Linked DNA regions of Arabidopsis thaliana. The protein of the gene in region 2 interacts with the protein of the main gene of each other region in a pairwise test. Each region holds a gene or a part of one and is shown on either strand. Other genes may lie near its edges.

What was found.
Region 1: the proteins of AT5G01200 (region 2) and FBH2 interact in a two-hybrid assay, tested with the Arabidopsis thaliana proteins (one large-scale study listed by BioGRID).

Annotation. Positions count from the first base shown.
Region 1 is NC_003075.7:5,845,370-5,850,360, reverse strand, and holds FBH2 (basic helix-loop-helix (bHLH) DNA-binding superfamily protein), read right to left. Parts: upstream 3,050-4,991; 5' UTR 2,849-3,049; coding exon 2,396-2,848; intron 1,904-2,395; coding exon 1,757-1,903; intron 1,553-1,756; coding exon 1,487-1,552; intron 1,117-1,486; coding exon 1,048-1,116; intron 915-1,047; coding exon 861-914; 3' UTR 598-860; downstream 1-597.
Region 2 is NC_003076.8:75,072-79,260, reverse strand, and holds AT5G01200 (Duplicated homeodomain-like superfamily protein), read right to left. Parts: upstream 2,390-4,189; 5' UTR 2,146-2,389; coding exon 1,685-2,145; intron 1,310-1,684; coding exon 967-1,309; 3' UTR 718-966; downstream 1-717.

The DNA.
Region 1 (4,991 bases), on a different chromosome or scaffold from region 2:
TACTAAATATGTAGAAACCAGATCCTTGACAAAATATTTTGTGATTGCGAGATGAACTCAAAGCGTGGATGCGAGTCCAAGATTAGGTGTAGCAGAGTACATTGGTGAAGGCATGGGAGTCGTTCCAGAGCTTATCATCCCTTCTATGTTTTGAACTCCCTTGTTCTTTGTTTTCAAGTTGATGGTTCATGGAAAACCAAAACAAAAATGTGCAGCCAGTTTGGTTTTAATTTGATGGCTTCAACCAGATTCATCTAATTGGTTTGAAAGGATTTCAAATATATTTCATGTCTTTACACTAAGAACTCCTGACACTACACTACTTTTGGTAGCGCGGTATGCGGAATGATTTATTTCGAAACTGATTGCAGCGGATTTAGTAAGATGATTAACCCTTTTTCGCTATAAGATTTAATCTACACTGCAATAAACAAAGACCCGATTATCTTGCCGGTTCGACAAAACATCGAGCAATTCTGTCCTCGTTTGCAAACTCGTTGCGGATTGGTTGCACCACTAAGCAATCTTATTCCATGATGGTTAGTAATCTAGTATGTTAGCTGTAACTGTATGAATGAGTTTTAAAAACACTGTAATACACATCTTGAAAATACTTTACTATAATCAAACAACATGAAATCAAAGTCATTTCACTAATATCATAAAGAATATATGTTTTCATTAATTCTTTTTAACTTTCTTCATTATTGTACAAAAATTTTATATTACACCTACATCCATTTATCAAATAATATACTTTTCAACATGACATCCATCTAAATTCAAGCTAAGATCATCTTTCGAATTTTTCGATCAGATCATTGCCGTTAAGCAAATATAAAACAAATCAGGAGCAAACCTTATTGTTCTTCCTTAGGTATGCATGTGCACCTCTTCTGTTCTTCTGTTAACTCCTATATTATCCACACCAAAATAAACCAACTCATAACTCTTTTTACTATATACTGTTGACTAATCATTTTTAATTCATCTATTGGGTTCCTCTAAAAGGTTTTGTGTGTATATATATTAACTTAGATAATTTACCTGGATCTGCCTTTGAAGAACTTTCACGTATTCTACTGCTTCTTCTAACATGTCTGCAGTGTTGGTTTGCTGCAACAAAGACAAAAAAGTTAACCGATATACTCAAAGCCTAGATTCCAAATCTCCATATATACCAAAACCAAAAGTTTTCCTCAGTTTGTTCATAATCTATAGAGAGGAAACCAAGTTCATACTTATTTGATCGAGGTGACAACAATTCAAGTCCATATCAAGATCCATTCCACAGTTTGTGAATTACTTAGTTACAGAGCTGAGAACCGTGTCTCTGAAGTTGCATCACAACCATTAACAGTCATATTTAATTTGACCTCTAACTTCTACACTTGATTTAAGCATAGATAATCTTTGACCTATTTCTAGTCAATATAATTGTGTAACCGAGGTCATCAGATTATACCTAAGCTGAAAATTATATTACCTTGTCCATGTTAGGTACAAGCTCTTGTAGCTTCCTTATCCGATCACTAATCCGCGTCCTTCGTACCTACACAATGAAAGGTAAAGATAAATATACACTGACCAGAACAGAACAATCCTCTGTTCAATGAAGCATACAGTGCATCATTAAACATCCGTAAATTGAAAGTAAAGATATAAGTTGTATCACTAAACTTCAATGTATAAAGTTAAGAGAACCTTGATCACTACACTTCCAAAACATTGAAAATAAAGATTGAATGTTGTTTACCCTCTCGGCAATGCTGCGGGGATGAGTTGCGCAACCACGTTTAGCCCGAACCCTAAAAGCAACAGAGTCCTCCATAAGGTTCTCCATGTTCATATCCGACATGCTTGATACTCCGGTAGGAACTTGACCGCTGCTTTGCTCTCCTTTCTACTTACAGAAAAAAATTCCAAAAAGCGCAAATCAGCACTAATACCTTAATCAACACATAGGTAACACATATGTTCCCAAAATTTTGATCAAGTGTAGTTACTTAATACTAAGTAGACCAATGTACCAAAAGGTGTGGAGAATCAATACATTTGTACACATTAACCACCGAAGTATGTATCATCATGTGGACTTATGGTCTTCTAAACACTTTACCCATAGGAGCATTCTTTAATGTTCACATTGACACATTAAAGCCACAGAGCCAACAACAAAAACTGCCATTTTTTTTTTTTTGAGTTAAAATAGAAACTGCAACTTGCTTAGTTTGGTTCAGAAAAACACAAGTTGTCAATTTTAAGACAAGACTGGTCTTTTCAATCTCGAGAACTTGGTCAGCAAATTAACTAAAACAAGTAATAAGTCAGTTAAGTTCATCCTATTTTTGGCAAGTATAAGAAAACCCTAATTTAAGAACTAATTTTGGTTTACCATTTGAGAAGTAAACTCAGGAGAAGAGAAGAGTGCTTCCATTTCTCTAGACCGCTTACTTCCCGGAGAAACATCGATATTCCCCGATAAGTAATCGTAATTCGCCTGAATCCCAAAGCTTTGGATAAATCCATCAGAACCACTAAGAAAATCCGCCGGAGTACTATTCTGTCGGTGAAACCCACCTTGTTGATACAACCCTTGCTCAACAGGAATCGGGAACTCGAACGAGCCGCGACTTGTCGGTAAATCGTTCGAGTTCCCGGTAAGCAAATCGGTGAGACCAAGATTAGGTTTCAAAGACTCTTCTTCATCTTCCTCAAGTAAAGCTTCAAGCCAAGTCGCTGGAGCTGAACGGATCCGAGATAGTCCACTTCTACTTAGCCCTCCTCCTCCTCCTCTGCCTCCTCCGTCGTCACCACCGCCGCTACTACCGACGGATGTTGGTTGCATCCCCTTTGGCTTTTCTCTGGTTTCAATAGACACTACGAAAGCTTTTTTTCTCTTTCTTTACATTTTTTTTTTTGTTTCTTGCTCTGTTTTATTTTTTTCTTTAATTAATACATCAGCAGACCAGATTGTTGTTGTTCTTGGGTTATTTTTTTATTTATTTGTTTCAATAAAAAAATTGCGGCTAGTAATAATAAAGAACCCTAACCGTCTGATTAAGATACTTTTCTAACACTTGACTAAAAGATAAAGATAGTACAGAACCTAAAAAGGTTAGAGATGCGTCAGCGCGTAACAGAGAAACATTGCTTTAACGTCTCTTTTGTTATCTTTTTTTTTATGTAATAGATTATGGTTTACACCACTCTCGATGGAGGCGCGTAGTTTCCACCTTCTCGGTCCAATTCCGATATGTGAAAAATTAGCGACTTCGTATGTCTGCAAAATGCAACTTTTATTTAGTTGAGCTGCTTTGTAGAATTACAACATTTTAAAAGCTTTTGAAGAATTACAATATTTTAAAAAAGCTTTTGAAATTTTTTGTCTTTATTTTATATTAGAGTTATTCTCTGTTGTAACAATGTCTGTGTTGATTGCCTAACAAAAAATATAAGAACACGAAGTTTTTTTTCTTTTTCATGTAAGTACATCGACTCCGGATTAGTTCTCCTAACTTAATAAAATGGTCGCTGGTGAAAAAAAGTAAAGAATAAAAAACCATCCTATTAAAAAAAATATTACAATCTTAAAAAAAAATTACTTCATTTTTTAAATTTTTTTTGTTACTTTCGTTTTTAATTTATGGTTAAAATTTTATTTATTAATTTTAATTCTCATATATTATTTTTAAGATTTAAATGTTTATAAAATAAATAAAATAATTTGAAAGCACTTTTACAACTCGTGTGGTGTTCGGGTTGCCCGGCCATAAAAAATTCCCACAGAGTTTTTCAATCTCATCAAAACCGGTGATCGAAAAATTGAACACCAAAAACTGAAAATCTATACTATATAAAAGTTGAGGCTATTTGCTTCTAAAGCCGTCCACATAGGATTTAGAACGACCAATCGAAAGCTGCCACATCAATAATTAACATATTTAGCATTTAATTATTTAACATTTTTTAAAACAACTAATCGGAAGCTGTCACATCAATAATTAACATATTTAACATCTAATTAATTAACATTTTTAAAAATAATAATTACTTTCCATTTTAAAATTTAAAATAAAAAACGAAAATAACAAATATTAAATTTAAACTTATAAAAAAGGAAGCAATATAATTATAATTAAATAATATTAAACCTAAACCCTTACAGAATTTTGGGAGATTTGCAAAACTACTCTTTTTTTACTACCCTTTTGCAACAATATCTTTTTATGTTGTCCTTTTTTAAAAATACCATTTCCCTTGAACAGAATGACCAAATTATCCTCATCTAATAGGAACATGTAATTAGAAACTGAAATTTTCCCACCAAATTTTTGCACCAAAAATTTATTTTTCTCGCCAAAAAAATTTTCTGGCAAACTTTTTTCCCACCAAAAAGAAAAATCCCGCCAAAAAAATGATTATGCAAATCCTTGTAAAATTGTTTTGGGAAAAAATATATTTTCAAGAGATTTTAAAAGGGTTTTAAAATATTTACAAGGGATTTTAAAAGGGTTTTAAAAAATTTACAAGAGATTTTAAAAGTATTTTAAGAGATTTATAAGAGATTTTAAAAGATTTTAAAATATTTACAAGAGTTTTTAAAGGGTCTTCTTGTAAATTCTTTAAATATCTTTTAAAAACACTTGTACATCTTTAAAAATCTCTTGTAAATCTTTTGAAATCCTTTTAAAATACCTTGTAAATCTTTTAAAACACTTTTAAACCATTTAAAAATCTTTAAAAAACCTTTGTAAATCTTTTAAAGCCCTTTAAAATCCCTTGTAAATATTTTAAAACCCTTTTAAAATACCTTGTAAATCTTTTAAAACTCTTTTAAAATCCCTTGTAAATATTTTAAAACCTTTTTAAAACAATTTTTAACCCTTTAAAAATCTTTAAAAAAGCTTTGTAAATCTTTTAAAGCACTTTAAAATCCCTTGTAAATCTTTTAAAAAACTCTTTTAAAATCCTTGTAAATATTTTAAAAC
Region 2 (4,189 bases):
TGCTTTTAATCAACTTTTATCTAGTTTTAGGTACGGCGATGGAAGTCTTACTAGTTATAACTCTCTACGATTGGTTGCAATTTGAAATATGAAAAACATGTGGTGCGACTTCATATTATACTCTTTTGTATCTCTATTTTTAAGAGGTCGTAATCCTAATACTGTAGTTTACAACTTTTTGCAATTTATGAATTTAACATTTTAGTAGACTCCAAATCACCGGTACACTCCAAATCACTACTGGGCTTGAAAATCATGGATTTTTACGGGGTTTAAGGGATCTTATTGGGGCACAGTTTAATGGGCATTAACTATTTCTTCTTCTTTGGGCTTTGTAAGCCGACGTTGTTTTTTTGTTTTCCCTTTTCTTTTCGTTTTTTTTAGTTAAACAAAAAAAAAACAAATTGAAAGCTCGAAGCATTTGGGACGCAACACCCGTCAGGTTCATGATAATAATTGGAGGTAAATGGAACCACGAAAATGGAATATAATTCTTCTGTTATGTTGAACGATCAGCGAAGCCATGGGAAGAATATTAAGTAAAAAAGTAGTATTTAATAGTCAGATCCTTCGTCAGTTTTACTTTTAATTTGAACAAAAAAAAACTGAATTAGATGCTGATTCGAACTAATCCTAAGTTGTCGGGAAGAAAAAGCGACTCACACCAAGCATTGACATTAAAGTCAACGGTATTTACATTATAATTATATGATTATTAAAGAATATAGTATGTAAAGTCACACATATATATATATATATATATATATCATATATATATATCATATATTGGTATTATAAAACTCGGAACACTGAAAATTACAACCAACCAGACCTAATATATGGACAGCAGAATCACACAAACCTTTTCATACAAATATTTACAACAATTCTGCAGTAATATGTACGTAGAAAATGTATGTAACAAATCTATAGGAGACCACAAACTCTAGATAATTTCTAAGTGATTTAACTCCACTGCGGAAACGCATTATAATAGCTAGACGCAGACGCAGACGCGAAACTGTAATGAGGATTTGGCTGAAGGAAAACGTCAAAAGAATTGGCTGGAGTAGGAGAGAGTGCTACGTCAGCGGTCGTGGCGGTTGCGGATGCGTCTGCGTCAGGGATGTTAACAGTGGTGATATCGTGAATACTTGATCGTCTTTTGTCTTTACCATCTGTGAGTTGTCGAAGAAAATATTTCTGAGCGTGTGAAGCGACTTGCGTCGGCGTTCGAGTCGTCACAAAGCTTTTTGCTATGTTTCTCCAATCTCCTTTTCCATATTTCTTCAAACCCATCAGAAATCGTCTGTCAAACAAAGAAAAGTAAATCAATATTATATTTAGTTAACTTCACATAAGATAAATAATTTCAAGAAAGTATTTGAAAATAGATATAAATTGTAAGAAAAGTATAAATCCTAGGCATTTTAATTATCAAAAGAAATATTCTCCTCAGTGAGTTCATATAAAAACAGAGAATTTCAAGTAAATATTAATAAAAGAGATATATTTACCTCAAAATACCACAAAACAAGATTTAGTTCCAAAATTATTTACCAAAATAAACAAATTGTTAGGCTTAGAAACTTAAATTCTATAGTATTATAACATAAAATATCGATTTTTTTAGAACAAATCTTTATAACATTAATTAGAAGTAGTGAAGAAATTTGGTAGTTACAGGTGTTCGTCCTCGGTCCACGGAACTCCTTTCTTCCTCTCCTTTTCCGGCATCGGAGACCTAAAACAATCAGTCATCGCCGGCGAACTCCTCTTTCCTCCAACGACGTAATCATAACCGTAGCTGGAGTTTTCTAGACCAAAGAAATAGTCACTGTTTGCAGCGGAGGAGGCGTCGCCGCCGTATCCCGGAATGGGGATAAGTCCGGCTTCGATGTCGCTGACATCATCCTCTAGCTCCTTGTATCGTTTAATGACGTCAGCTACTGTTTTGCCGGGAATCAAATCTGCGATCTTGGACCAGCTCTCAAGATTGTCTTTGTCGTCCAGATAAGCGAGAGCTTTCTCGAACCGTTTGTTCTCCTCCGCCGTCCACGTGGCTTCTCTGACTTCTTGAAAAATCCAGTTTGTGTTTGCCGGTGAAAACATATTAACTCCTCTGTACATCGTCGACGATGACATAGCTCCTCCTCTGTTTTTGGTGAAAACTTTCGTTTTTTTCTCTAAATTTTAGAAGAGGACAAAAAACAGAGAGTGAAGAAGAGAGTCTTGAGTGACCAAGGCAAAAAAAAAAAGAAACGACTTTATTTTCAGAAATCTCTCGAGAAAAATTATTACATGGAGAAAATGAAGAGAGCATAAAGTGGATCTCTTTGGTCGTAAACGAAAAGGAAAACACAAAAGTGGATTTTGCTTTTTTATTTTATTTTTCTATATTTCACGTGATGATCAATAGGAATAATAATACATTCAACAGGAAAAGGTGTATAAAAAAGTGTTTTTTTAAAAGAAAAAATTGAGGAAAAAGTTACAGAGATATTTGTTTTTGTTTTGCCTATGTCAAATGATTTATAAAAAATATATTTTAGTTGTTGCAATCTAAGTCGGCCAGTAGAAATATGACAACTCAGTAGTGAATGTTTCTTATAAGCTATATTTTAATATTTTTTTTAACCTAAGGTCAGATAAATACTTTTAGTATGGCTTATCTATGTGATAATTAGCATATTTGTTTTCTGCTAATATGATAAATCATATAAAATTGAAATGGGATTAAGACTAACCAAATGCACGTGTCGATACATGAAAGAAAGTATAACATAATTTCTATTTTATGACAAAGAAGGTGTAACCAATAAAATGAAAAAGACCAGAAAACGACTGTTCAATGGTTTGGCCGGTTCTTAATTTGTTGTTTAATCAAGAACATAATAATATTTAACTAAAGAGCTTATTTGTCAACACGAAATAGCCCATTCAATATATAATAACACAACCATAACTCCATAAGCTAAACAAATATACAAAAACAAGTTGGAATATTACACCTTCGAAAATTACGTATTTAATTAATTTTTGGCTGGCAAACAATTTGTTTTTTAACGTATTTGTACTTTTCATTTATTTTGTTGTAAATAAACTTCATTTTGTTAATTAATCTATTTAACTTTAAAAAAAAAGTAGAGATCATACAAATATGCGAATTAAACAATGGGATTCGATGGCAAAAACTGCAGAACCGTTGTACAAGTGGGTTAGGTGGTGATCTTAATTAACCTTTAAATAAATTCAAAAGAAAAACTTTGAACAGAAGCCAGAGCTGGATGTAACCAAAGATATTTTCTTTAGTGTATCACAGTTTCAAATTTAGTATTGGTTATTTTATGTTTATTCATATAAGGCAAGATAATACGAAGAATGTATGTGTCGGGTGCTTTCATATCGTAACAAAAGTTCATATATTAATGTCTCACCACGACACCACCTCATGTGGACGGTACCACAGCTCCACTTCTAGCCAATTGAATAATTTAAATTTGGTAAAAGTATAAAGCATTGCAACCAATTATTATAGCCAACTGTCAAACATTTTCACAAACTCATGTATTTTTGTCTTTCAGAACTATTTTTAAAAAAAACTCGAAAAAATAGTTGACTAAGATTTAACTATTTGCAATACCCGGTTCAGGAAACAAATGATAGACGGTTTAAAATTTCGTATTCAAGATCCCGAAAGCATGTGTGATTAAGAACCAAAAAAAAGTATAAAGTATAATTATAATTAAACACTAGTTAAATCAGCCATGAAGAATGAAATTTGGATATTTCGATACGATGAAATACACAGAAAAATAGTTATCAGGAGTAATTAAATAAGGTAGGGACAACAAAGGAAGCCAATACCGAATTCTCCCTATAGTGTCGCTCACATGCATGATGAAACGTAAACTGTAAGTGTCATCTGCTGATTTGTAGCAGACACAAGGTTTCTGTTCCACAGAGAGTGACTTCTTCTTGGATTCTATATTTAGCAAGATTCTCTTACTATAATTAGTAAATTACTCCTTTTTCTGTCGAATTTATTACTCTTGCTTCGTTTTATTTCATTTCTATCGTTTTATGAGGAGTATTTTGTTTTTTTCTTTCTCGTTTTCTTTTAATATTGGAAATGTGACATTGCACCTACTCATTCAAAATTCGACGACAGATGAATTCTGCTTTGATA